Tamandua tetradactyla: one gene and its partner. The protein of the gene in region 1 purifies or fractionates together with the protein of each later gene. This does not show direct contact. Links are inferred from orthologs where the notes say so. Each region holds a gene or a part of one and is shown on either strand. Other genes may lie near its edges. The genes, in order: CABIN1 and UBN1.

Region 1 (11,540 bases):
ATAAACCCCCAAATACACTAAACTGGGACACAATAAATGGGCATGGGAAAATTGGAAAACAATAGCTCAAAAAATGAAAGAGGACCCCTTTCATTTTTAAACCCTATAGAAAAATTGATTCAAAATGGATTAAAGACCTAAATGTAAGAGCCAGTACCAGAAAACTTCTAGAATAAAATGCAAGGAAACATCCTCAAGATCTGGTAATAGAAGATATAAGTAGCTTCATATACTTTATACCTAAAGCACAAGCAACAAAAGAAAAAAATAGACAAGTCGGAATTCCTTAAGATCAAGACCTTCTGTGCCTCAAAGGACTTTTCAAAAAGGTGAAGAGGCAACCAACTCAATGGGAGAAAATATTTGGAAATCACGTATCAGATAAGGTTTGATATCCTGTACACATAAAGAAATCATACAACTCAACAAAAAAGAACAAAAAAGCCAAATTATAAAATGGACTAAAGATATGAATAGATACTTTTCTGAAGAGCAAATACCAATGATTAAAGAGCACATGAAGAGATGCTCATTTTCATTGGCTATAAGGGAAATGCAAATTAAGACGACAATGAGGTATCATCTCACACCCTTAAGAATGGCTGATATTTAACAAACAGAAAACTACAGATATCGGAGAGGATGTGGAGAAATTCGAACACTTATCCACTGTTGGTGGGATTGCATAATGGTACAGCACTAAGGAAGACAGTTTGGCAATTCCTCAGACAAGTAAATATTGAATTGCCCTATGACCCGGCAATAACAATACTTGGTATATAACCAGAAGAAGCACTATTCACGATTGCCAAAAGATGGAGACAATTCAAATGCTCATCAACAGATGAGTGGATAAAGAAAATGTGGTATATACATATGATGGAATATTATGCAGCAGTAAGAAAATGAGGTCCTGAAGCACATGACAATATGGATGAACCTTGAGGACATAATGCTGAGGGAAGTAAGTCAGACACAAAAGGACAGATACTGTATGGTTTCACTATAATGACTCTGATAAAGGTAATCTCAGAGGTTACACCATAGAATATAGCAGACGTAGAGGTACAATAAAGCTAGAGATGGAGGAAAGGCTACCCAGAGGTCGAAATGAAATGCAAGGAAATCGATAGAAGTGACAGTAACTAATTAGAGGGTTTATAAGTAACATTGCCATATTGAAGGTGAACATGATTGAAAGGGGATGTATAGTGCCATGTATCCCACTGATTAAATCTACAATTATAAATAAGTTCTTGCAAGAACTACTTCACAGGTTTGATAGTGGACAAAGTCAATAGTAGAGGGATACAAGGCGGAAAACTAAAAATGCACGCTACGGCCTACAGTTAACAGGAAGACATCAACAGTACCACAGAATTACCAGGGGCAGCTAATTTTTACGGAGGAACAAGTGGTCTAGGCTCATTCTAGGATTTCTGGCCCACGTTGCCAGGAAGGTCTGCACCCCTGGGAGTCATGTCCCATGCAGACAGGGGAAGGGCGGTGAGTTTGCTTATTGTGTTGGCTGAAGAGAGAGGCCACATCTGAGCAACAAAAGAGGCTCTCTTGGGGGTGACTCTTAGGCCTAATTTCAACTAAAGCCCTGGATTTTGAGGCTTGCTGTTGCGAAAATTGTTTCTGTTGGGGAGAAGCTAAGACCACCCATAACGAGGCCTAACGGTTGCTTCCCAAAAGCCTCTTTGTTGCTCAGATGTGGCCTCTCTCTCTCTATGCCTAACTCTGCAAGGAAAATTGTTGCCTTCCTCCCTACGTGGTATACCAACATTCAGGGGTGACAAATCTCCCTGCCAACTGGGGTTTGACTCTTGGAGATAAATCTGGCCCTGGCACCATGGGATCAACGACGTCTTCCTGACCAAAATGGGGGAAAGGGGTATAGTAAAGCAGGGCATCAGTGGCCAAGAGAGATCAGGAGGGGTCAAGAGGCTGTTCTGGAAGCTGCTTTTATGCAAGCTTCAGTTAGATAGCAGTGATTGCCATGGTTTGCTAAACCCCAACCAACTTCACTCCTGTTGGCTCTTAAGAACACCTGGGACTCGAACTGAGACTCTATATAAAGGTTTCATGCACTAGGTTTGCCTTCCTGGGACATATAATTCCTGAGAGTTACTGGGTCAGATAAATCCTGCCTCTCCAAGATTATCAATTTATTTCATCCCTCTATCCTTTAGTGTCGACACCCCTTCTCAACATGAAAAATCAGAGCAGATATTCCCCAAAGATTCCTATAAATTGGGAGAAGGATTAAAGGAGAAGGAGAAGGTAGAGCAAGGAAAATGGGACTTGGCAAGCAAGTATGACTGCTGAATCACCATGTTGATGCTCCTTCTAGCCTCCAGTGTCTGGGAGCACTAGAGGGAAAGGTCTGAGATGGTGGAGTGGTGGCCCATGACAAACTCAGGGATCTGTTCTGAAACTACTAGTTGAAATGTGCTTTGAAAATTATTCCTCTTTTCTTTCTTTGCTTTGTTTGTTATATTACACACAAAAAAATTTTTTTTAAAGAATGGAAGCTCATTGAAAGGGCAGAGCAACTGAGTCACAAAATAAATGGTGTTAATATTGGATTTTAACTCACTTTATACACTTAATACCCATAGCCCCTAAAAACTCAAATAAACAGCAAATGCATAAATAATTGAGACAGAAGGGACAGCTCTTCTTACCATCAAATTTCAATGAATAAAAGCAGAAGGAACGAGGGAAATAGAGAATCACCATGAAGCAAACTTCACAGCAATAAATACACAACATTTATGTGTACATGAGATCCAAATGTTAAAGTTAGTGGGCTTAAGTTTGTGGAAAACCAGAATTTACTTCCTACCAAAGTATTTCCACTAAGGCAGAAATCCTGCAGACACCAACTTCAACAAGTAACTCCAGCAGTGAGACATGTTGCCATCATGAACCCCTTGAGATGAAACACCGAGAACAGAACATTGCATTTTGTGTTATTCTGTCCAAAAATGCACACCCTCATTCTACTCAAGAGAAAATATCAGACAAACCTAAGCCAAGGTAACGTTAGACAAAAACAACTATCAGTATTCTTTAAAAGCATCAAGGCCAAGAAAGAGAAGAAGAGACTGAGCACCCATTTCAGAGGACAGGAGATGAAACAGAAATAACAAAATACAACATGGGTTACTGGTTAAGATCCAGGAATAAAAAAAAGGAACACGAATGGGGAAACTGTTGAAATTTGAATTAGGGCTATCATTTTTAATAACAGTGTATCAGTGTTGGTTTCCTGTTCTTGACAACTGTACCCAGATGATGTAAGATGTTAGCATTATGGCAAGCAGGGTGAAGCACATAAAGGAACTCTTGTATTATTGTTGCAACTTCTCTTTAAGTCAAAAGTTAGTTGAAAATCAAAAGTTTTCAAATAAATAATCATTTGAGACTATTGACTGAGCATCTGTAAGAAATGTGAGGCCCGGACCATGTACACCAGGGACCCCAGAAATCCACTAAGAGGAGCTTACAAACCAAAAGCAAGTCCCTTTCCTCAACAGCCACTAACGTGCTCAGTTTCTCCAAGGAAACAGAGGCTGCATCGGGGTGAGGCCCTCACCTACAGGGACTGGCACCACGGGCTCCACCTCCAGGCCCACCGGCATCTACTCAGCCTTCCATCCTCTGCCACGACAAGGTCACCATCACAGAGGGGACGAAAGATAAATATTGGGTGCAAATGGCAAACCCTTCTGGCCCAGCTTGTTTGTAAAGGCCCTGACCAGGATCAGTATGGGGAGCCTCGTGTGCTACGTAGGAGCTAGTGAAGCTGCCCCAGCGGGGATTCTTGCCCACTCTCCCCAGCAAGCCCAGCCGAGGAGAAGAAAATGGAAGCAGAGAAAGAAGAATCGTTGTAGTCTGATGATGACATGGGCTTTGGTCTTTGGGACTAAACCCTTTGTGTCATGTGTTCAATAAAAAGTTGAACTCTTTAAAACTTAATTAATTAATAAGCAGCAGCTACCAAATGGAGAGGAGAAAGGAATTATCTGTTCGTTTCTTGGACTTCCAGTTCAGCAGCTGCATTTTCGCAGAGTAGCACATTCACAGGTTTAACCTAGCAGGTTCCCAATGGCCTTATAGAAGACATGATAAAGAACATTTCAGTTGGAGCACCTAACGCTGAGTGGTCTCCAACCCACATGGGGCACTGCCTGGCTGACTAGCTGACCTGGCATAAGATGCCCCTCTCTGGATGTGTTTCTTTTACCTTTTGAGGCTTTGGACCAGACCAGAGGTCTGCAAACTAACCCACCAGCTGTTCCTGTGCAGCCACCAGCACAGAATGGCTTTTACATTTCTAAATGGCAGACACGTGAATGACAGATGCAAATGATCTGACACTTTCATGCCCATAAATAAAATTGCACTGGGGCACAGCCACTCCTTTGGGTGGGTTATCTTTGGCTACTTCGAATGCTAGAATTGAGTAAACAGATTATGGCCTGCAAAGCCTAAAATATTTATTAGCTCGTCCTTTACAGCAAACTTTGCAGACCCCCGACCAGTGCAATTCTAAGGCCATTCCAGTCCTAACCCAGTTCTGGGTCCCAACAGAAGGAACCTTAGCTGCATGGAATTCGACCTTCCAGTTTCAGATGTAATATCATGAAGAGTTAAGTGGTTCCCCAAACTCAATGTGCCAACATCAGTGGGGCGTCAGGAATATGCTAGCCAGGGTATCCCCCACTCCATCCCCGGAAACCAGTGCAGCAAAACGGTCAAGATTTTCAGTCTGGAGTCAGGCTGGCCCATGGGTTGGCTAGGTGACCTTGGAAAGTCACTTCACCTCCCTCGGTCTCTGTTTCCAACCCTGGAAACGACATGAACAAACAGCACTCACCTCGGGGGGCTGCCGCAAAGTGAAGCGAAAGGATGCGGAGTAAAAGGTTAGCCTTTTGCAACCGCGGGACGCCGCCTCAATGGTGGGTCCTGCCGTCGTCCCTGGGACCCACTCCCGAGGCCGGAGGCCGGTCTAGGCACCCAGGGCGGCGGTGGAGAGCCAGAAAGAGGCCCCCGCGGCAGCCAGGAGGCCTGGACCCAAACTGGCTTCCCCGACTGCGGCACCGGGGCTGCCACAGGGACCCCACCCGCCCCACACACACACAGCGTCCCCACGGGTCTCGAGCCCATGCAGTCCACCCCTCCGGCTCGTGCTCCGGCCTCCTGGCCCCGCGGCGCCACGTTCCCAACCCGGGGCCACCCCCACAGCCGCAGTCCCGGGACTCACCCGGCGTCTCCACGGCAACGGCCCGATCGCCCGGACCCCCGCGCCGCCGGCCGCACGCCTGTCAACAAGGCTCGCTCCCATTGGCTCAGCGCCGGGCGCGCCAGCCAGTCAACGGGGTCGTACGCGGCGTGCGCCCGCCCGGCCGTGGAAGACGGGAACGCGCGCGTGTCCGCCCCCGGGCTGCCTTGTCGCTACAGTTGTAGAGTTCGGGGTCCGGGTTCCGAAAGGCTCCTGGGGCGCCGAGCTCAGTGTCCAGCCCGGGGCAGTCGGTGAATGATGGGGTGTATCGTCCTCACCACCTGGGGCAGGGGCTCCGGGGGCCGAGGGAATTGAGGGGCACGTCCGGGAGCCCCGGGGACGCGTTCACCCGTTCCGTGGCCCTTGCGAGTCCACGCGAGCAAGCAGATGACAGCGATGATTATAGTGGGGGTGATAGATTTAGGGTGGGGGTGGGGGGTAGTGAGACACCCGCTTAGGATAGGGAGCTGTAAAGAGGGATGAACACAAGGTTATATGCAAAAAAAAAAAAAAGAAAGAAAGAAAGAAAACCGGGTTGGATAATTAAAGGGAGAGCTGTGGGTTTGAGAGACAACTCCTTCACCTCTGGTGCCTTTCTATTGGTTTTGGGGTTGGACTTTAACATCCTTAGTGAATAGGTCACTTAGACGGGTTTATGTTGACTTGAAGATATGATATGCCCAACCAAGGCCTGTTGTACTTGGAGGGCCGGATGGGTGAAAATGGGTCACTTTGTTTGGAAGGTTTTATCTTTTCTTAAGATCCATAGCTCCTGTGGCTAGGGTGGCATTTGTGAAGGGGATGGTAACCGTGGTGAGTTGCTAGCTCAACTCCCAGCTCTGTTCCCACTGGTTGGGTCCCCAGTGTCAAGGATTGAGTATGGGTGATGGACTTCTTAAAATGGAGAATGCATGGGATTTAGAGACTTTACAGGGAGGGGGAATAAGTCTCTTAGACCAATCGTCTTTGATTTGAAGCCCCTAAGTCTTCCTAAGGCGCTTTTTTTTTTTTTTTTTTTTTTTTTGCCTGTCAGAGCAGAAATCCTTGCCTCTGAAAAATGCCTGACTTATCTCTGTGTTTTGAGGGTGTAGATAATAGAGCACATTATAGGGCACTTGATTTAGAATGTATTGTCTCAAAGCAGTGTTGGCATATTGTGCATTATTTTACAAAGGAAGAACCTGACAAAATTGGCTTAAGTCATACTTTTAGGAGCAGAAGAATCCCAACCAGTTACGCTCCCTTACACACTTCCAATTTATTACTCTTTCTAGTAGAGATAACCAACATCTTTAAAGGTCTATGGACAACTCTTGTTGCCTTTGAATTATGCCAATACCAAGAGGTTCTGTTTCAAGGAACAGATGAGGCCACTCTAGGATTAAGAGGCTTATTTCAGGAGTTCCTGGGAATTGATTTTTTGGGTTTTTTTTTCACAATGACTGCCTTTCTGTTAGTTTTGGCGGTGGACTTTAACATCTTTGGCAAATAGGTCACTCAGATGGGTTTATCTTAACTTGAAGATATACCCAACCAAGGCCTGTTGTACTTGGAGGGTGGGAGGGGTGAAAATGCAGATGGTCACTTTCTTTGGAAGGTTTTATCTTTTGACTTAAGGGCTATAACTTCTGGGCAGGGGTGTCACTTGTGAAGGGGATGATAACCCCAGTGTCAAAGAGCCTTTCCCCTTAGGTTGTGAATACTTCCTTGTTATGGGGTATTTCCCCAACTCCTTGCTGCATCCTTAACTTAGTCCAACCTGAATAACATGAACAAGGTGGTGGCTGCTTCTCTTCCTAAGTACTCCTCTTTAAGTACTACAACCTTCTACCTTCTACTACTACTACCTTAAGGTTATTGCTACTACCTTCAGTGTTTATTTCCTTTGAATTGAGCCTTTCTTAGATCATTTCCCAAAGTAAATGGTGCTCTGTGTCATAGATATTGTGCATTATTAAAGAAGGAAAAAAAAAAAGGCAGAGGAGGAACAGATAAGACTTGTTGTCTGGCCCTGATGAGGTGAGGGTTAAAATCCCATTTGGGGCATGGCAAACATTCATTCATGTTCAACCCACAGACATCCCCGGAGAGCTTCTGGGAAGCTGGAGACCCACAAAATGTGTTGGCAGAAGGAACGAATGCAGAAGCAATGTGGGCAGGGAGCCAAGTGAGGGGCACTCCAGGATCTGGCTTTTAATCGGTCAAGTACAGACACAGGCAAATTTCACTGGAAACTAAATGTATTAAACTATGTGAACCACTGTGGTAGTTTGGAGGCTATACATACCCCAGAAAAGGCCATGTTCTCTTCATCCATTCATGTGGGTACAGATCTGTTGTGGGTGGACCTTTTGATTAGGCTATTTTAGTTGCGGCCTACACCAGGGTGTGTCTTAATCCCCCTTCCTGGAGCCCTTTATGAGCAATGAAATTAAGAGAAACTCACAGAAAAAGCCCCAAAGAAGCTAAGGGAGGAAGCCACTGGAATCAGAAGCTGAAAGCAATAAAACTCGGAGGGAAGGACCAGCAGACGCCTGCCATGTGACAGGTGTCCCTGCGATTTGGCCCAACCGCTAAACTATCGGGGAACCTCTACTCCTCAGCTTCTCACTGCTTGCTAGACGACACTGCCGCACGTAGAAAAGGGGCTCGAGCCGGGGGGTCTGGGTCCAAGGTGCGCGCGCAGGAGACCTCGCTGCGGGTCTAAAGGACTGGAGGCCGAGCCAATTAAGGCATGAAGCGAGGTAGCTTTATTGTTGGTAGACGCTTATGCCAGGACCGCCAGTAGCTAAAGACCATGAGGCTCGGTGAGCCCTGGATTATATACAGTTTGAGGAGAGGCGGAGTTAGGGCATGGCCTCCAGGGGAGGGTAGCCAATCACACAGGGAGGACGGATGAGTGACTGTGACCATAGAGATGCTGTTCCTGAGTGTACCCGTAGCAGAGGATGTTGGGTAGGTGGAGGACTAAGGAGAAGACCAATAGGGTTAGAGAGACAAGGCTGCATCATCACTAGTCGCCGGTGAGGCCTGTAATTCAGAGGTCTAGAAGAACCGGACGTGCCAAAATGGCGAGGGAGGGAGAGAAAGAGACTAAGCTACCAGGCCAAGAATAAAATTATGCCACAGTCCCAAAGGTATCGTCCCGTTCTGCCTTATTTTGGACATTCTCACAGCCTAAGAACTGTAAATGTGTGAGCTAATACATCCCCATTGTAAAAGCATTTCCAGGTTTGGCATCCTGGGATATGGGTTTTACGAGGTGCACGGCTCCAGGGAAATCTCAGCCAAGAGTCAAGGAAGAAAGTGGCGCTCGGGAATGCTGAGGGAAAGGTTCCTGCAGCACACCCTTTCCAGCTCCCCTGTGGGCACAGCGTCCCGAGACCTACAGGAACTGCAGGAACTGCCCAGGCCACCCGAGGATGAGGACAGGAGCAACTGGTCAGCAGAGTTTGCAGGAAGGCCCAGGCTGGCCCAGCTGCCCGCCCCATCCCACCAGCCCTGCACGTGAGTGTGGGAAGATGGGGCTCCGGGCCAGACCTTGCCCCTAGGACTAGAGTAGCCCAAATGTATTAACACAGCAGCCCTGAAGACAGGAAACAGCCCACCTTTCAGTTTCTCCAAGGTCCCTTCCTCCTAAACCAACAGCAGCAAAAGGGTGGCCAGGGATACAGGGGAAGGTAGTAAAAGTTTTAAAACAGAAAAGCTTGAAAGATGACTCTTTCTTCATTTATTTGACACAGAGATGGGGAACTCTGTGAGGTAACAGGCACGCTATACAACAGGGCACCAGGAGCCAGTACCCCGAGGCCCACTCTGCCAGGAGGCCTCTCTGGAAGGGTTGACAGCTTCACAGAGGCCTTGAGTCCTGTCCGCGACAATCATAAGAAAGTCATGACCGTCCCCTTCTTGCCAATCTGCCAGGGATCCAGGGGGAAAAAGCGGATAATGATCCTTCAGATGGACAAAAAGAGATCATCAGCTCCCTGCTTAAGGCCTCATATTCCAAAATCCCTAGGCAGGCCAGTCCACAGTGGGCTCCCCAGCCAGCCCTCCTCAGCCCACCCCTGGAATGGCATTTTATCAGCCTTCCCTCACCCACCCACCCCCACCCCAGGAATGATCACTGACTCCCCACCCCCAAGGGGCCGTGGGCCTGGCAGGGCAAGTGGTTGCACGATGTCAGCATGGCCCACTTAGGGAAGAACCCAGCCTCCTGGTGAGTCCCATATGCCCTCTCTTCTGTTTCAGACTACAGGCAGCTGCAAAGACCCTGGGGGTGAGGGGGCACACACACCCTGCCTCAGCCACCCCTGTTTTCTCAAAGCCGAGCTCACACCAGACAGGGTAGCATGCCCACTAATGTTTTTGGAGTGAATGAATACTCCTCATTCACAGAGGTTAAGAGGAAGTTCCTGGGGAAGACCACCAGGGTTTGGGGTAGCCCAGCAGGAAAGAGGCGACTTGGCCTTGATATCTCCGTCTGTAAACTTGGCATGATGGAGGTCCCTATCTCATGGGGAAGGCCTGTGTGCCAGTTTGAATCTGTTGGGTACCCCAAAAAAGTCAGGTTCTTAAATCCTCATTTGATATTGTTGGATGAGATCTTTTTTATTAAGTTGTTTCCATGCCAATGTGGCCCACCCAACTGTGGGGGGTAACATGATTAGGTGGTTTCCATGGAGATGTGTCTCCACCCACTCAAGGTGGAGTTGCTTACTGGAGCCCTTTAAGAGGGAACCATTTTGGTAAAAGCTAGAGTGTTCACAGCCAGAGACCTTTGGAGATGAAGAAGGAAAACGCTCCTAGGGAAGCCTTATAAAATGAGGAATGAAAGCTATCAGAATTTGCATGTGCCTTTCCAGTTGATAGAGGAACTCTGAACATCATCTACCCTCTTAGGCCAAGGTACATTTCTCTGGATGCCTTAGTTTGGACATTTCTATTGCTTTGCCTTAATATGCATTTTCACAGCCTTAGAACTGTAAACTTGTAACCTAATAAAGTCCCTTTTTAAAAGCTCTTCCATTTCTGGTGCATCGCATTCCACCATCTTTTACAAACAGCCTGTAAGTATCAGATGAGATGACGCACATGAAGAACCTGAACCTGGAAAGCACTAGCTTGTTATGTACTGGGGTTAGAATTATTTTCTCCCTCCAGCCTGAGGGTATCTGAGCAACCACCAGCAGCAGCCACCAAAGGCTCTGCTCTGGACAGCACTTTCAAGCTTCTCACAGCCCTAGTTCCCCATAGGCACCATCTCCGCCCCAGGAGTATTTTTCATCCAGGAGGAAATTTTAACCCTGCCCCAGAATTCCTGATCTGGGACTTGTAGGGGTCTTTTAAGGATTCATCTAATCTACCCCCTGCCCCTCTATTCACAGATGAGGAAGCTGCAAACTGGAGATGGGCCCTGTCGGGATATGCTTGGGGTCCCCCAACTGAGCTGGCCCAGGACACCCAGGCCAGTGCTCTTTACACCACTCTGTGACCCTTCCCTGAGCCTCCACCTAGAACCTAATTGGGCAACAGGCCCAAAGGTCACAGCTCAAGACATACCCAGAATCCCGCCCCCATCACTAGTCTGGGGGAAAAAAGAAAATCTAGATTTTCTAAGATTTGGAGAGGCCTGAAGGCAGATGATTGCTTACTTTAGAGGAACATTCTGCCAAGGTGCAAAGATCAGTCCCATGTGACCCTAAAAGCCCCTGGAGAGTGGTCTGAGGGGCAGGTTGAGAAGCCCCAGGCACAGGTGACCCTGGGCAGATCAAGGCAGGCATTTAACCCCCGACTTTACGAGGGGCTCGGGGGCCAGTCCCTGCCGCCCCGCGCCTACGCACCGCTCCTGGTCCAGGGCCAGCTCCTTGGTGAGGCACTCGAAGAGCCGGGCGCTGTGGCCGCGGTTTTCCTCGGCCGTGCCCACCACGCCGATGGAGGAGACGAGCAGCTGCGCGCAGGGCTCCGTGGAACCGTTCACGGCCATGGCCAGGCCCGGCCGCACCGTCACGTTCACGCGCTGCGGGGACACGGGAGCTGCCCCTGAAGCTGGGGCCGGGGATCGGGGGGCAGGGGCAGGGGCGGGGATCCCAGGCCGGGTCCCTGGAAGTCAGGTCGGAGTCACGGCTAGGGAGGGCCACCCAGGGCGGATGTGGGGCAAGGGGCAGGGGGAGCGATAGGCGGGGTGGGGGCTCCCCGAGATGCGGACCGTGGGCCCCCCAACCTCCCCGCCCCCCGCTCACTTCCT
Region 2 (11,499 bases), on another chromosome or scaffold:
CCTACTCATAGTGTATCACTCCATTTACATGAAATACAAAAACATGTAAAATAGACTTAGCTACTAGAAATCAGTATAGGGTTACCTCTGAGGGTAGAGGTGGTACCTTAGGAAGGTACAAGGAAGGTTTCTGGTGTCCAGGTAAATGTTTTATTTCTTGATCCAGGTGCAGGTTACATGGGTGTGTTGAGATTGTGAAACCTCATAAAGCTGTACATTTATCATATGTATACTTGCCTTATATACTTAATTCAATAAAATATTTTTTAATTTAAAAAAATGTTACTGATTTGCCAAAATATTAACAGTCGAAGTGGGGTGATGGGTATGCGGGGGCTTATTATACTTATTCTCTTTACTTTTGTGCATGTTTGAAAACGTCCATACTAAAAAGTAAAACAAATCTGTCAAGAAAACAAATGGAACATTTAAAAACTCTTAGGAAATCAACTTGATTTTTAAAAACAAAACAAATAAACCCTAAAGGCTACAACCCAATTCTGGCAAAAGAAAACAAAAAGTAAAAATTTCAAAAAGCCAAAAAATAGGTTTCTGTCCATCCAGGCAAAGAAACTATCAAGTACTACTGTGTTTAGAAGAGATGAACAGTTTGTCTTTTCTGGTTTGGCAAGAAAGGCAGAGTAAGAATCCCTCAGAAAAGAAAAACACCAGCATGGATCAGGCTCCTTCACTGGAACAGTCAGGGACTGGTCCCACTTACGTATAATACTTACAGACTTGGCATGAAAAATTTGTGGTTCCTTTTATTTACATTAATTAGCCATAATTCCAATTAGCCATGGATGTGCCACACCTTTTTCACTAACATAAATTCTATCCCTTCACGCCTAGAGGCAAAATCATCAAGCCTGGTTCTTGTGCCCTGGGATGGGTAACTTGACCTTGGGACAGTCAAAGACTCTCCAGTCTTGCTTCCACCCTAAGGGACCCGCATTTGCACACAGTGACACCCATGCCTCAGATCTGCAGTGACGCTGAGGTGTACCTTGTCTCCAGGTTGAAGGCCTTTCACTTTCCCTCGTATATTTTTCACTAGTTCTGGGTAGAAGAACTCTGGGCAACGCTTGTGATCTGGTTCAAAGAGGGTGAGTGTGATCCGAACGGCTGCTGCGGCCGGCTCAGAGTCCTGATGCTGTTCTGCTCCCCCAGCCTCTTCTTTCCGGGATTTCTTCAAAAATGCTGGACTCAGAGAACCTGGGAGAGATGTGAACTGGACTCTGTGGGGCTCCGACATGGCTACCAACAAGTCGGTGGTTGTCACTGCATGGCTTCTGTTAACATTGGAAAAAAGGGCTGGGTCAAATCAAGATGAAAAAAAATAATGACTTCTCTGCTCAATTACAAGTTTTAAAAAATTTCATTACGGGGAAGAATCCCTTGTTAAAATTCAACTGCCATTAACTGTACTTCTCTGTTTAATATTCTTTCTAAATATATTTTTTTCATATGTAACATATGAAAACCCAAATCTTATCAGAGATAATCAGTGTTTCACATACTTCCTTTCCAGTCTTTTTCTACAAATATATAGCCGATCCTTGACATTAGAGAACCCATGATGACAAATCCTTAAGAATTCCCAAAATTGCAACTACTACTACAAAATACTGCTTTCTTCTTAACTTATCCAACACTTTTCTTCCCCCCAACAGAGAACAGCCACTTTAAGAGCTCTTTATGTTCATCACCAGTAGTTTACTTTCATTTGGGGCCAATGCTCACAATGAAAGTTTTCATCACATCATGGAAGTTATTACCTAGCCTGGAATAAGCAAAAAATCAGCATCTCAGTGATGTATGTATGGCTAAACTTATTTTTCTAACAAAGTCACTGGCACTTGACCACCAGCCCTCTCCCCATTCAAACGTGGGCCTTAACAAAGTGACAAATGATCACATGCCAAAGAACTACACAATTGTGTGGGAACGTCCAACATAGATTTGGAATCTAAGAATTCCAAGGGTTTAGAGAACATAAATATGCAAACATACATTATGTACTTTTTTGTGCTACAGGAATAATTGTATCCTATTTTTACAAACTTACACCCTAATGTGAACTTTTATTTCAATAAAGTTATTCATTGTAACCTTGTTTACATAGGGGAAAATGGTGGAAACAACCCACATGTCCAGTGATAAAGGAACAGTTGAATAAATTGTAGATTTTAAATTGATTTGTGAGGCTCCTTGATATATTACAGATAAATATCCCTTTGCCTCATCACATAAATCATTATTATAAATCATTTAATCTCTCACAAGTACTCTTCCTGGCTTATTCCCTATTTAAATTTTACTTAGAATGAGGCAAGCTGAAAACTTTCTATGCCCTCAAAATTTTTTTTCCCTTGTGACTTCTCCTGTTTCTTCCATGCTTAAAATGTACTTCTCCAACCAGATCTCACATAAGAATTTATCTACACAGTCTTTTATATACTTTTCACATTTAACTATTTAACCCAAGTGGAATATATTATGCTATAAGCTATGGCGTGAGGTCCTAACTTGATTCTTCCCAGTATCAATCACTAAATAATCCCTCTTATCCCTGCCAATTTGGCATACATCATCTAGTAAAATCCCATGTTTCTTATGGTCTATTACTGAAATCCATCCTGCTGTATGAATGTAGTAGTTAAGATTTTTTTTAACTAATACCATACTGTTTTGAAGTTATACGGAATATTTTAAAATCTTGAACTGAAAGCTCTTATCACTCTTTAAAAATACCACTACCACTCCAGCCTACTTATTATTTCAGAACTTTAGAAACATTTTGTTGAGTTCTCCCAAAGGGGCTGTCAGTTTTTATTGTAACTGAATCATAAGTGAGAGTTGTCAAGAAGATGCTATTTCTCATATATATCTCTTATAAATCCATATATGTATATGCATTTGTATATATCCAATACTTATTTTCCATTATGACACAAAACCTGGGACATACTGATTCACAAGGTTGTCAAATTACATCTCAGTTGAAAGGAAAAGTTTAAAGGTCCCTTCTAATAGAGCAGACAAATACTCTAAGAAGAGAATCAAGTTAATCAATGGGATGCAAGAAGGTCATTCCGGGAGTGGCAACCAGGCAAATGCTAGTGTCCCTGTCCAGTAAGAGATTTTAAAATGTAGCCTTATCTTGGTCTGTTTTACACATCGTAACTTCAACCCACCTAAACTTCAACCACTTCTTCGTTGAAGCCTGAGAAGCCAATGGTATAGAAACAGAATTAGAGGATAAAGCAAATCAAAGATATAGCAGATTAAGACTCATGGGTTAGATTTTGGGTGAAGTTTTGTAATCATCATACTGTATTATTGTTTTTTATTAGGCCATCTGAAACATTCAAGAGAACTGGACATTAATGAGTGTTGTGAGATTTACAATTTTAATTTGAGATGCTTAAGAAAATATAATTAAGTGTGAAAGTGTTTGCACTTTTTTTTTTGAGTGGGCAGGCACCGGGAATCAGGTCTCCTCCAGCATGCCAGGCAAAAATTCTGCCACTATACCACCATTGCCTGCCCTGTACTTTCTTTCAAAAAGAACCAGATTTCCATTTATAAGTTTATTAGACTTAATGACAATTGCTTAAGTCCTCAGAAACATTTATGTTAGGTTTCTAAGTTTACTTTTTTAGACGTCTGAAGTATCTACAAGAATCAAGCATCTAAAATTTTAATTACAGAGTAATATGCTAAAGAAAATTGAACTTTGTAAAAAGAGTTATTTAGGGAAATTTGATATGTTAAACTGGTTTCTTACTTGAACTTTTGTCAAAGATCAAGTATTTTTATTTAAAAAGTCCTGTTATTTATAAATAATACAAAATGAGTAAAATTCTATCTGCAAAATCATCCCTCTTAAAAAACCTCAACTGAAATTAAACAAGAATGGCACTTTCATCTATTTCCTCACGCCTCCTTTTGTATCTCAGATTATTCCCAGGAGCTTTTCGTTGTTGTCATTGTAAACAGAACCCATTAACCAGAAAACTGAACTTTGTCGATTTTGCAGTTAGTTTTTCTTAACTCTAATTTTACTGGTTTTCCTCGACTATTCATTTCTTCAAAATATGCAATTCTATCATCCCGGGAAATGAGTAGTTTGTCTTCCCCTTCCTGAAAAATTATATTTCTTATTTTTTGTTTCATGCCTTATTGCATTGGCTAAAACTTCCAGGCTAACATAAGACAAATATTCTTAGCCATGATTATAACCTTAATGGCAATGCTTCTAGAGCCTGCATGACAGTAATTTAAAAGGCATCTATCTCTTTTATCAAGTTATTAAATATCCTTCAATTCTTCAAATTATAAGACTTTGTAAATTACGAATGCGTTTAATTTTATCAGACTGTTTCCTGGAATCCTAAATACGCTTTAAATAACCAGTTTACCTTTAAAACAAAACAATAAATGACACTTCCTGAAACTGGCTCACGGTACTTCAGAGAAACTGATCTAAGAAACCCGGCGTTGAGGCCAACTCAGCAAGCTAAAATAAAAACCCACTTACCAAGTCTGGATATGACAAAACACATACGCGAAATGCGCGCGTGGACCTCGCACCTTTTCCAGGAAATCGCTAACTCCGGAAAACTCCGGTTCTAAATCAAGCGCTAAAATCACTCCTCGGAGTCTGAAACCGGGACTGGGAGCTTTTCGAAAATTCTATTTGTTTCTACCAGGTACCCTGGAGTTTGGGCAGGCGCTGTGCCGAACTGCCACTGAGAGTCTCCCTTTAACGGTTTAACTTTCATGCGTCGACACCACGCTTGGCATCTGACTCCCTGTGGGCACAACCGCCTGATCCCAACTTCTTCCAAAGTGTCAAACTACAACGAGGCTTACGTGAGCGTCCGGTCCGTACACGGACACGCACCTTCGTCCCCCGCGCCGGCGCAGGCTACGGCCCCGCGGGCCGCACGCGTCCCCCCGCGGCTGTCCTCATGCCGGCCAGGGGCCCCAAGCGGCGGCGCGGCTAGCGGCCGGCTTCCGAGGCATGGCTCCCGGCGGGCGGCCGGCCGGCGCTGCGGCCCATGACCGGGTCCACGCGCGCCCGGGACAGCCGCGTCGGCCGTGCCGCGAGCCGGCCAAGAAGAAAGCGCAGAAGTGCCGCCTCGAGGTCCGCGGAGCAACTCGGGGGGCGGCGGAGCAGGCTGCCAGCGGGCGCCCCGGGAGAACTTGCTGCGCCGGACCCGCACCCGAACCGCTGGCCGCGCGAAAGTCGGCCGCGAGAGCGCGCCAAGGCACCCGGACGGCGGCGGGACGGACCCCCTCGCCCGCAAACAAGCGCGGCGTTCGGAGCCCCCGGGAGCTCGGGGCGCGGAGACGAGGGGGGACCCGGGCTGAGGCCAAGCAGAGCCCACCGGTCGCGGGACCCTTGGCTCCGGTTTCCAGGCCGCGCCGAGGTCCGTCAGGGGAGCTCCCGGGTGCAGCGACGAGGCCGGCCGGCGCCTCAGGCTCGGGAATGGCCCCGGGGCCCGCGCGGAACTAACGGCCGAAACGGAAGCGCCGAAGGGGGGAGGGGGCTGGAGTCCAGGGCCCCGGGAGGCGGGGCGGGCCTCAAGGCCGGCTCCCTCACGCGCTCGGCCAGCCGCACGTCGTCGCTTCCGCCGCTGCCTCAGACCGCGGGCGCTTCGTTGTCACGAGCCGAGGAGGTGGGGCGGGGGGGAAGGCGGGGAAGGAGCCGGGAGTCTAGGGTCTTCGGCTAGCGGAGACCGCGGCGCCCGAATCACGTGCCGCTCGACCGGCTAATGAGAGATAGAGGGCGCAGTGACGTCAGAGCAGCGGCGTGGCCGATGACAGCCGGCCCTCATCACGTGGTCCTCCTCACTCCAATGGGCGGTGTCGAGGCGACCTGATGTTCCCGGCGGCCTGTGCGGCGGTGGTGGTTGGGTGGTAAGATGGCGGCTGTGAGTCTGCGGCTCGGCGACTTGGTATGGTGAGTCCGGGCGGCCGGGGGCAAGCGAGGTGCTGGGGTGCTGCTCTCTGGGTACGGGGTTCACAGTCAGCCCCGGAGCTGCCCTTCTCTGCGCTTTAGGCGGCGAAGAGAGGGGAAAACTAAGTGCCAGCGCTGGGAGCGACGCCGGGCGGAAGGGGCAGTTCGGCCCCGGGGGACTGAGGCCGAGGGTAGCCGCGGTGAGCTCGACTCTGAGCCCCGAAGCCGCCCGAGGGAGGCCTGTGCACAGGTCCCAGACTTAGGCGGCCACGGTACAGGGAGCATTCGGCCGCCACACGGCTCCCACGGCTGGGGTCTTGGTGGGGCTCCCCGAAAAGCAGGACAGCTGGGGAGCCCGTGAGGCCAGTTTACCGGGCAGGCGGATCAAAACCTCCGCGTTGCGATGGATCCGACTTGTGCTGGCGGTTCGACCCGGGATGTCGAAACCGGACCACTGGCGCTGCTCGGTGAAGAAATGGAGGGGTACTTCTCCTTTACAAGCGAAGGCTTGGCAGTGAACAGTGAATGCCTTCTTGGGTATCTTTCGTGGTCTGCGTCTGTGTCCCAGACAACCGCTCGAACTAAGACTGACTGTCGCCGCCTCCCTGGAGCTGCGTAGCTCGTTTCTCGATTCCCCGGAAGAATTTCGTTAGCATTTGTCAAAGCCGGCTTGGTCTCGTGGTGAATTAAACCAGATTTTGGAAGGGGAAGTCTGTGTTTACGGAAGAAACTGCCCTCCATCCGCGAGTGTCCAGGAGACTGGACAAGTCTCATGGTTTTTCTCTGTTCCTTGTCATCAGAGGAATGCACCTAGCTCTTCGTGCACATATGTATATAATTTTGTATCTATTTCTGAGGGTTTGGGGCCATCTCAGGCCCATTGTGGAAGTCAAATTAAGAACTCCAGTTTGCCAGCTTTTTTCTGGCTCTTGAGAGTGCCGGCCGAGATTTAGAAAAGTAAATTGCAGGTTGCGTGGGCTGAAGGAGATGGACTGGCTTTCCCAAGGCAAGTGCCTGACTCTTTGTGTTTTCTCTAGGGGGAAACTCGGCAGGTATCCTCCTTGGCCAGGAAAGGTGAGTGTCTTTTGCTTCTAAAGGAAGATATCTGAAGTTGTGTTTGGGTATGTGGGGAATGTAAAATCCATTCCTCCTGGTTTCTAGCATTAATTTGAGTAAAACTCGGCCCATTTAAATAACATTTATTCTGAATTTTTAACGTTTGTTCACAATTTTTTTTCTGAGCTGTCAGTTCATTTAGAAAAGAAAATATAAGCCATGTCATTTAATCTGCAGCACTTATTTCTTGATTCATAGCTGATTTGTGTTGGTCTTTTTTGTTTTAACTCTGAAAACCAATTCTAATTGGAATTTACCTTTTTACTTAAATTTAATCACAAACAGCAATTATCCAGGAAGAGAGAAATCTAAATGTAGGTTAGTTAAAAAGTCAAAGTATTTTTGTGCTAACGAAGTTTAAGTCTTCTTTTCATTTTACCATGTGTGCTTGCTCCCATGCATCTTTGCAAAAGTTGACATTCTAGCTTCTGCACACACAAGTCAGTCCATCATAGCTCTCCAACGTTCTGTCTTTACTTTCTTGTTAGCAGTCCAGTAAATATCTTTGGACTGTCTCTTTGGAATGTGGCATTTTCAGTGCCTCTTATCCTTTGTTTTCACTGTTACCTGCCTCATGAACTCCACCTGCACAAGAAGTATTTTTAAGAGTGTCCTCAGCATTACTTCATTGATGAGACAGGATCACTTTGGGGAGGAAAAGATGTGGATTTTAGTTTGAGCTGTTTTTAAAATGGAGCCATGGCAGTGAAACGGGATATGGGGTCTGCTGAATTCAGTGCCATATGTTAGGTAGAGGACACCTGCAGAATATTTGCACATTTCCACACATCTCAATAGAAAAGTGCCAGATTTGGATATGTATTAGGCCCTAGGGTTCCTTTTTTAAATACATATTCCTCATTTATTTATTTTTTCTTACCAGTTTAGAGCTGTGGAAAATTACTTTGTAGTGAACTATATTGCCATCAAACCTCTTCTTTTTATTGCCCAGATTGTTAATCCACCCAAGGACTTGAAGAAACCACGTGGAAAGAAATGCTTCTTTGTGAAGTTTTTTGGAACAGAAGATCAGTGAGTAATGTTCATCACGAGTTTCACTTTGCCTTTGTTTGGATGTTACCCTGGGCCTGAGCTGCTCTGAGAACATTCTAGGATCTTGGTTCAGTTTTATCCTGTAGTTTGTAAGAGTAGCATATCATCCTGGCTTCATACCTAAACGAAAGGTGCTGTTCTTACTGCATAGAAATTGTCGTGGGCACCTATCCTGGTGCTGATGACTATTTCAATCAGGTAAGAACCTTCTAAATAAACTAGTCCATTCAGTTAGCTTGTCACATCTGTCTGTCTACATCCACGGGCACTTCCTTTTATAAGAGCCATGTTTGGTTCTCTTTTAATGGCTGCATACCATTGTAGTTCATGCATCACACATACAGTGAAAACTGAAATGTTTTTTATCTTAATAAAAGTAATTTTAATTTTAAGTCTTGTTCTCTTCTGTAAAACTAGGTCATTTGCCCTGACAGTGTAACAGTAAAGCTTTTTTTTTCGCATGCGCAGGCACTGGGAATCAAACCCAGGTCTTCAGCAAGGCAGGCAAGAACTCTGCCTGCTGAGCCACCGTGGCCTGCCCTAGTAAAGCTCTTTAACCAGATATGTCCTAGAGTTGAGAAAACTAGGGCCATTAATTTGAGATTGAAATCCTTTTACCTCACTCTCCAGGGCCATATAAGAAGCCACAATGAGGGAAAGAGTATATATTACATGAGTTTTCTGTGATTTGTTTAGCTTTCTCTTCACTACATCCAGGTGATTAACTGGATTTAGTAAATGGTTTGCACTCTAGGTAGTTATGTTTCTTTTTATGATTCTTGAAGGAAAATGTGGTTTTAGGTTTGGAAAATGTCTAATTTTTCCAATAAATCTGATGTTGGAGTGTTAAAATATACACTCCTAGAAAGCAATATAGTAAATGTGAAAACCCCTTATAAGTAATGTTCTTGGCTCATTCAGGATTTGTTTATCAGAGTATTTTTTTGACTTAGTATTTGTGTGTTTCCATTTGTGTGTGTCTCCCTCAACCACACAAATATATCGACATACCCAGCACTCAGTTCTCTCACAAACCAACTTAACTGATCTGTGGTGGGGATACTTCAAGGGAGTCACTGGTCAGAGACCCTTTAGAAGAGATAAAGCCACGAATTCCATAAGAAAGACCATCCTATGCACAAAACAAGTGTTCATTGTTAATCCTTACACTGCATTGCTCCATTCTAAAGGGAGTTCCCAGGAAAGCAAGCTTTGTGGTCCCAGCCTTCCAGGAGCTCCTTAGGTAGTAAAGACATAAACATTCAGGTAGGATTATGTGTAGATGAGTGCAGAGGTAATTACGAAAGGATTCTAGAAGAGGAAGAGATCAGTGGAGACAGTGAAGTCAAAGAAGGCCTGAAGGAAGAGATGGGATTTGAATCAAGCTCTGAAGAATGGATAGAATTTAGATGGACAGGTATGATAAAAGCATTCCAGGCAGTGGGGATACCATGAACAAGGCTGCATTCAGCCATTGTCAGCAGGGAGAGGCTCCCTGCTTGGAGTGAAAAATTTGTGCTTGGGAATAACAGAAGCAATATGGGTTGGCCCAAACTCAGTTAACTAAATGAAGAATTATTCAAGTCTAAAACAAAAATGGAAATGCACAGAAAGTGGGAGTTAATCAACTTATAGGGAACCTAAAAGCCATTATTTTCGTGATGGTTAAAAAAAATGCAGGAAGGCTAGAAAAATGAACTGTGGCCCCTGTGTTAACAAAATGCTAGCATTAGGTCATAGGAGATTGGAATTGAGTGAAGTTCAGCACTTACCAGGTTCATGGAACGTGAATATAACCTGGAGGTGTCAGCAGTGGGGACGAGGCAGTGATGTGATTTCTACCGAGGAAGTTCTCTGAGTTTTCTTAAGCAGGTGGATACAGAGTGACTACTAGGTAAGTCTGTAAGCCTTTTACACTCCCTTGCTAGAGGTCCCCTTAAAAAGCTGTTTAAAATTAAATCACCACAGAGCTAACATACTACCTTTTGTGAATAGGCAGTTAACTTAGAGAAAGGAAACAAAGGCTCACTTAAGGGAGATGGGTTCCTTAGTGATCAGTTTTAAAGCGAATTTTATTTAGTATCTTTATGCTTTCTGTAATTGGACAAGTGGCATGGAATTGCTTTGGGGCAGGGGCTCTGGATTTGTTTCTAGCCTGATGTGCCTTTGTTCTCCTGTACTGTGGGAATAGTACCTCTTCCTCGTAGTAGTGAAGAAATAGGATCACTTAAGTATAGTGTGGTTTGGTGCATAGCAGATGCTTAACAAATATCGGGTGAAAGTGTATATCTGTTACCAAATGGGAGAAAGGTGTTGAATTTTAACAGAAGCAGAAGCTTTTAAGGAAAAGTGAGAGACTGTGCCCGTGAGGGTATGTGTTTATGTATGGGTGTGTGTATGTGTATTGGAAAAGAGAGGAATCTGAGAATTGGAGATTCTAAGGAGTAAGGCTTTGAACACAAAACAGTATATTATTCCACCTTTAAGTTAAACCGTGATGTGCTTCTCCAGGAATACTACATGCGGTTTGTTTCATGCTTCCAAAAGGATCTGAGAGATCTAGTCAAGATCCAGAGAATGGAACCGAGTCAGACAAAAGAGTAGGGTTCTTTCAGGTGCAAAAGCAGGTGGCAACTGGAAAACAAGTTTAACTGGAATTCACAAAGTCATGAGTGGCCTTAAGGAGGTAAAAACTGACTTGCTCATAAACCCTCAGACATTTCAGTGAGGGGCACCTTGAGTAGAATAGAAGAATGTGCAGGACAAGTGCAGGGAATATGATAGAAAGCAGACATTTAAGAGCTGGTACAGCCAGGAAATACAAGAGAATTTTTTAAGAATGAGAACTGATTTGTGACAGGTAATGCCATAGTGATTACAGAAGAAGCTAGACTCGAAAAGCACGCGCTCCTGGCATGTCCTAGGGTGGGAAACTCTGAGCTGAGTGGATAAGGTCTGAGAGGTTCAGCTTGGCTGTTCCTGTGTTCTTAAGACAATTTCATCAGGAATGTTCAATTTCAGAACCTACATACTACTTACAGGAAAAAAAATAATTTTTTTCTATCAAGAAGACCCTTTATTAAAGAGTGAAAAGGATAGCTATTAAGACAGGATATATGATGATTTCAGTCTTACAGAAAACTTCTCTCCCCATCTCTACCAAAATGTAACACATTGTGATGGTGTTGAATCCCACTGTTAGGATCAGACTTTTCCAAGGAGGTGGGGAGGCCTGGGTAGGGGATGGATAGACTTAGTTGTATTCTGCTCTCAGAGCCCTGGCAGCCAAGCAGGAAGAGTAACTTCAGCTTAATTTTGCCAGCTCCACCAGGTGACCACATCCAAAGATTAATTTTGTTAAT

The links.
Region 2: the proteins of CABIN1 (region 1) and UBN1 purify together in Homo sapiens (affinity purification with western blotting; 6 studies listed by BioGRID, with this or other methods). This does not show direct contact. The link is inferred for Tamandua tetradactyla from reciprocal best matches to the Homo sapiens genes CABIN1 and UBN1.

Annotation. Positions count from the first base shown.
Region 1 is NC_135331.1:25,628,945-25,640,484, forward strand, and holds the start of CABIN1 (calcineurin-binding protein cabin-1), read right to left. Parts: upstream 5,347-11,540; 5' UTR 5,276-5,346; intron 5,267-5,275; exon of another isoform or gene 4,889-5,266; intron 1-4,888. Other genes in the region: DDT (D-dopachrome decarboxylase), read right to left, coding at 9,175-9,247, 11,137-11,312, 11,536-11,540. UniProt on the Homo sapiens protein: May be required for replication-independent chromatin assembly. May serve as a negative regulator of T-cell receptor (TCR) signaling via inhibition of calcineurin. Inhibition of activated calcineurin is dependent on both PKC and calcium signals.
Region 2 is NC_135349.1:52,235,296-52,246,794, forward strand, and holds the start of UBN1 (ubinuclein-1), read right to left. Parts: upstream 5,003-11,499; 5' UTR 4,910-5,002; exon of another isoform or gene 4,879-4,909; intron 4,848-4,878; exon of another isoform or gene 4,544-4,847; intron 1,293-4,543; 5' UTR 1,256-1,292; coding exon 1,007-1,255; intron 1-1,006. Other genes in the region: GLYR1 (cytokine-like nuclear factor N-PAC), read left to right, coding at 5,934-5,971, 7,006-7,042, 8,037-8,116. UniProt on the Homo sapiens protein: Acts as a novel regulator of senescence. Involved in the formation of senescence-associated heterochromatin foci (SAHF), which represses expression of proliferation-promoting genes. Binds to proliferation-promoting genes.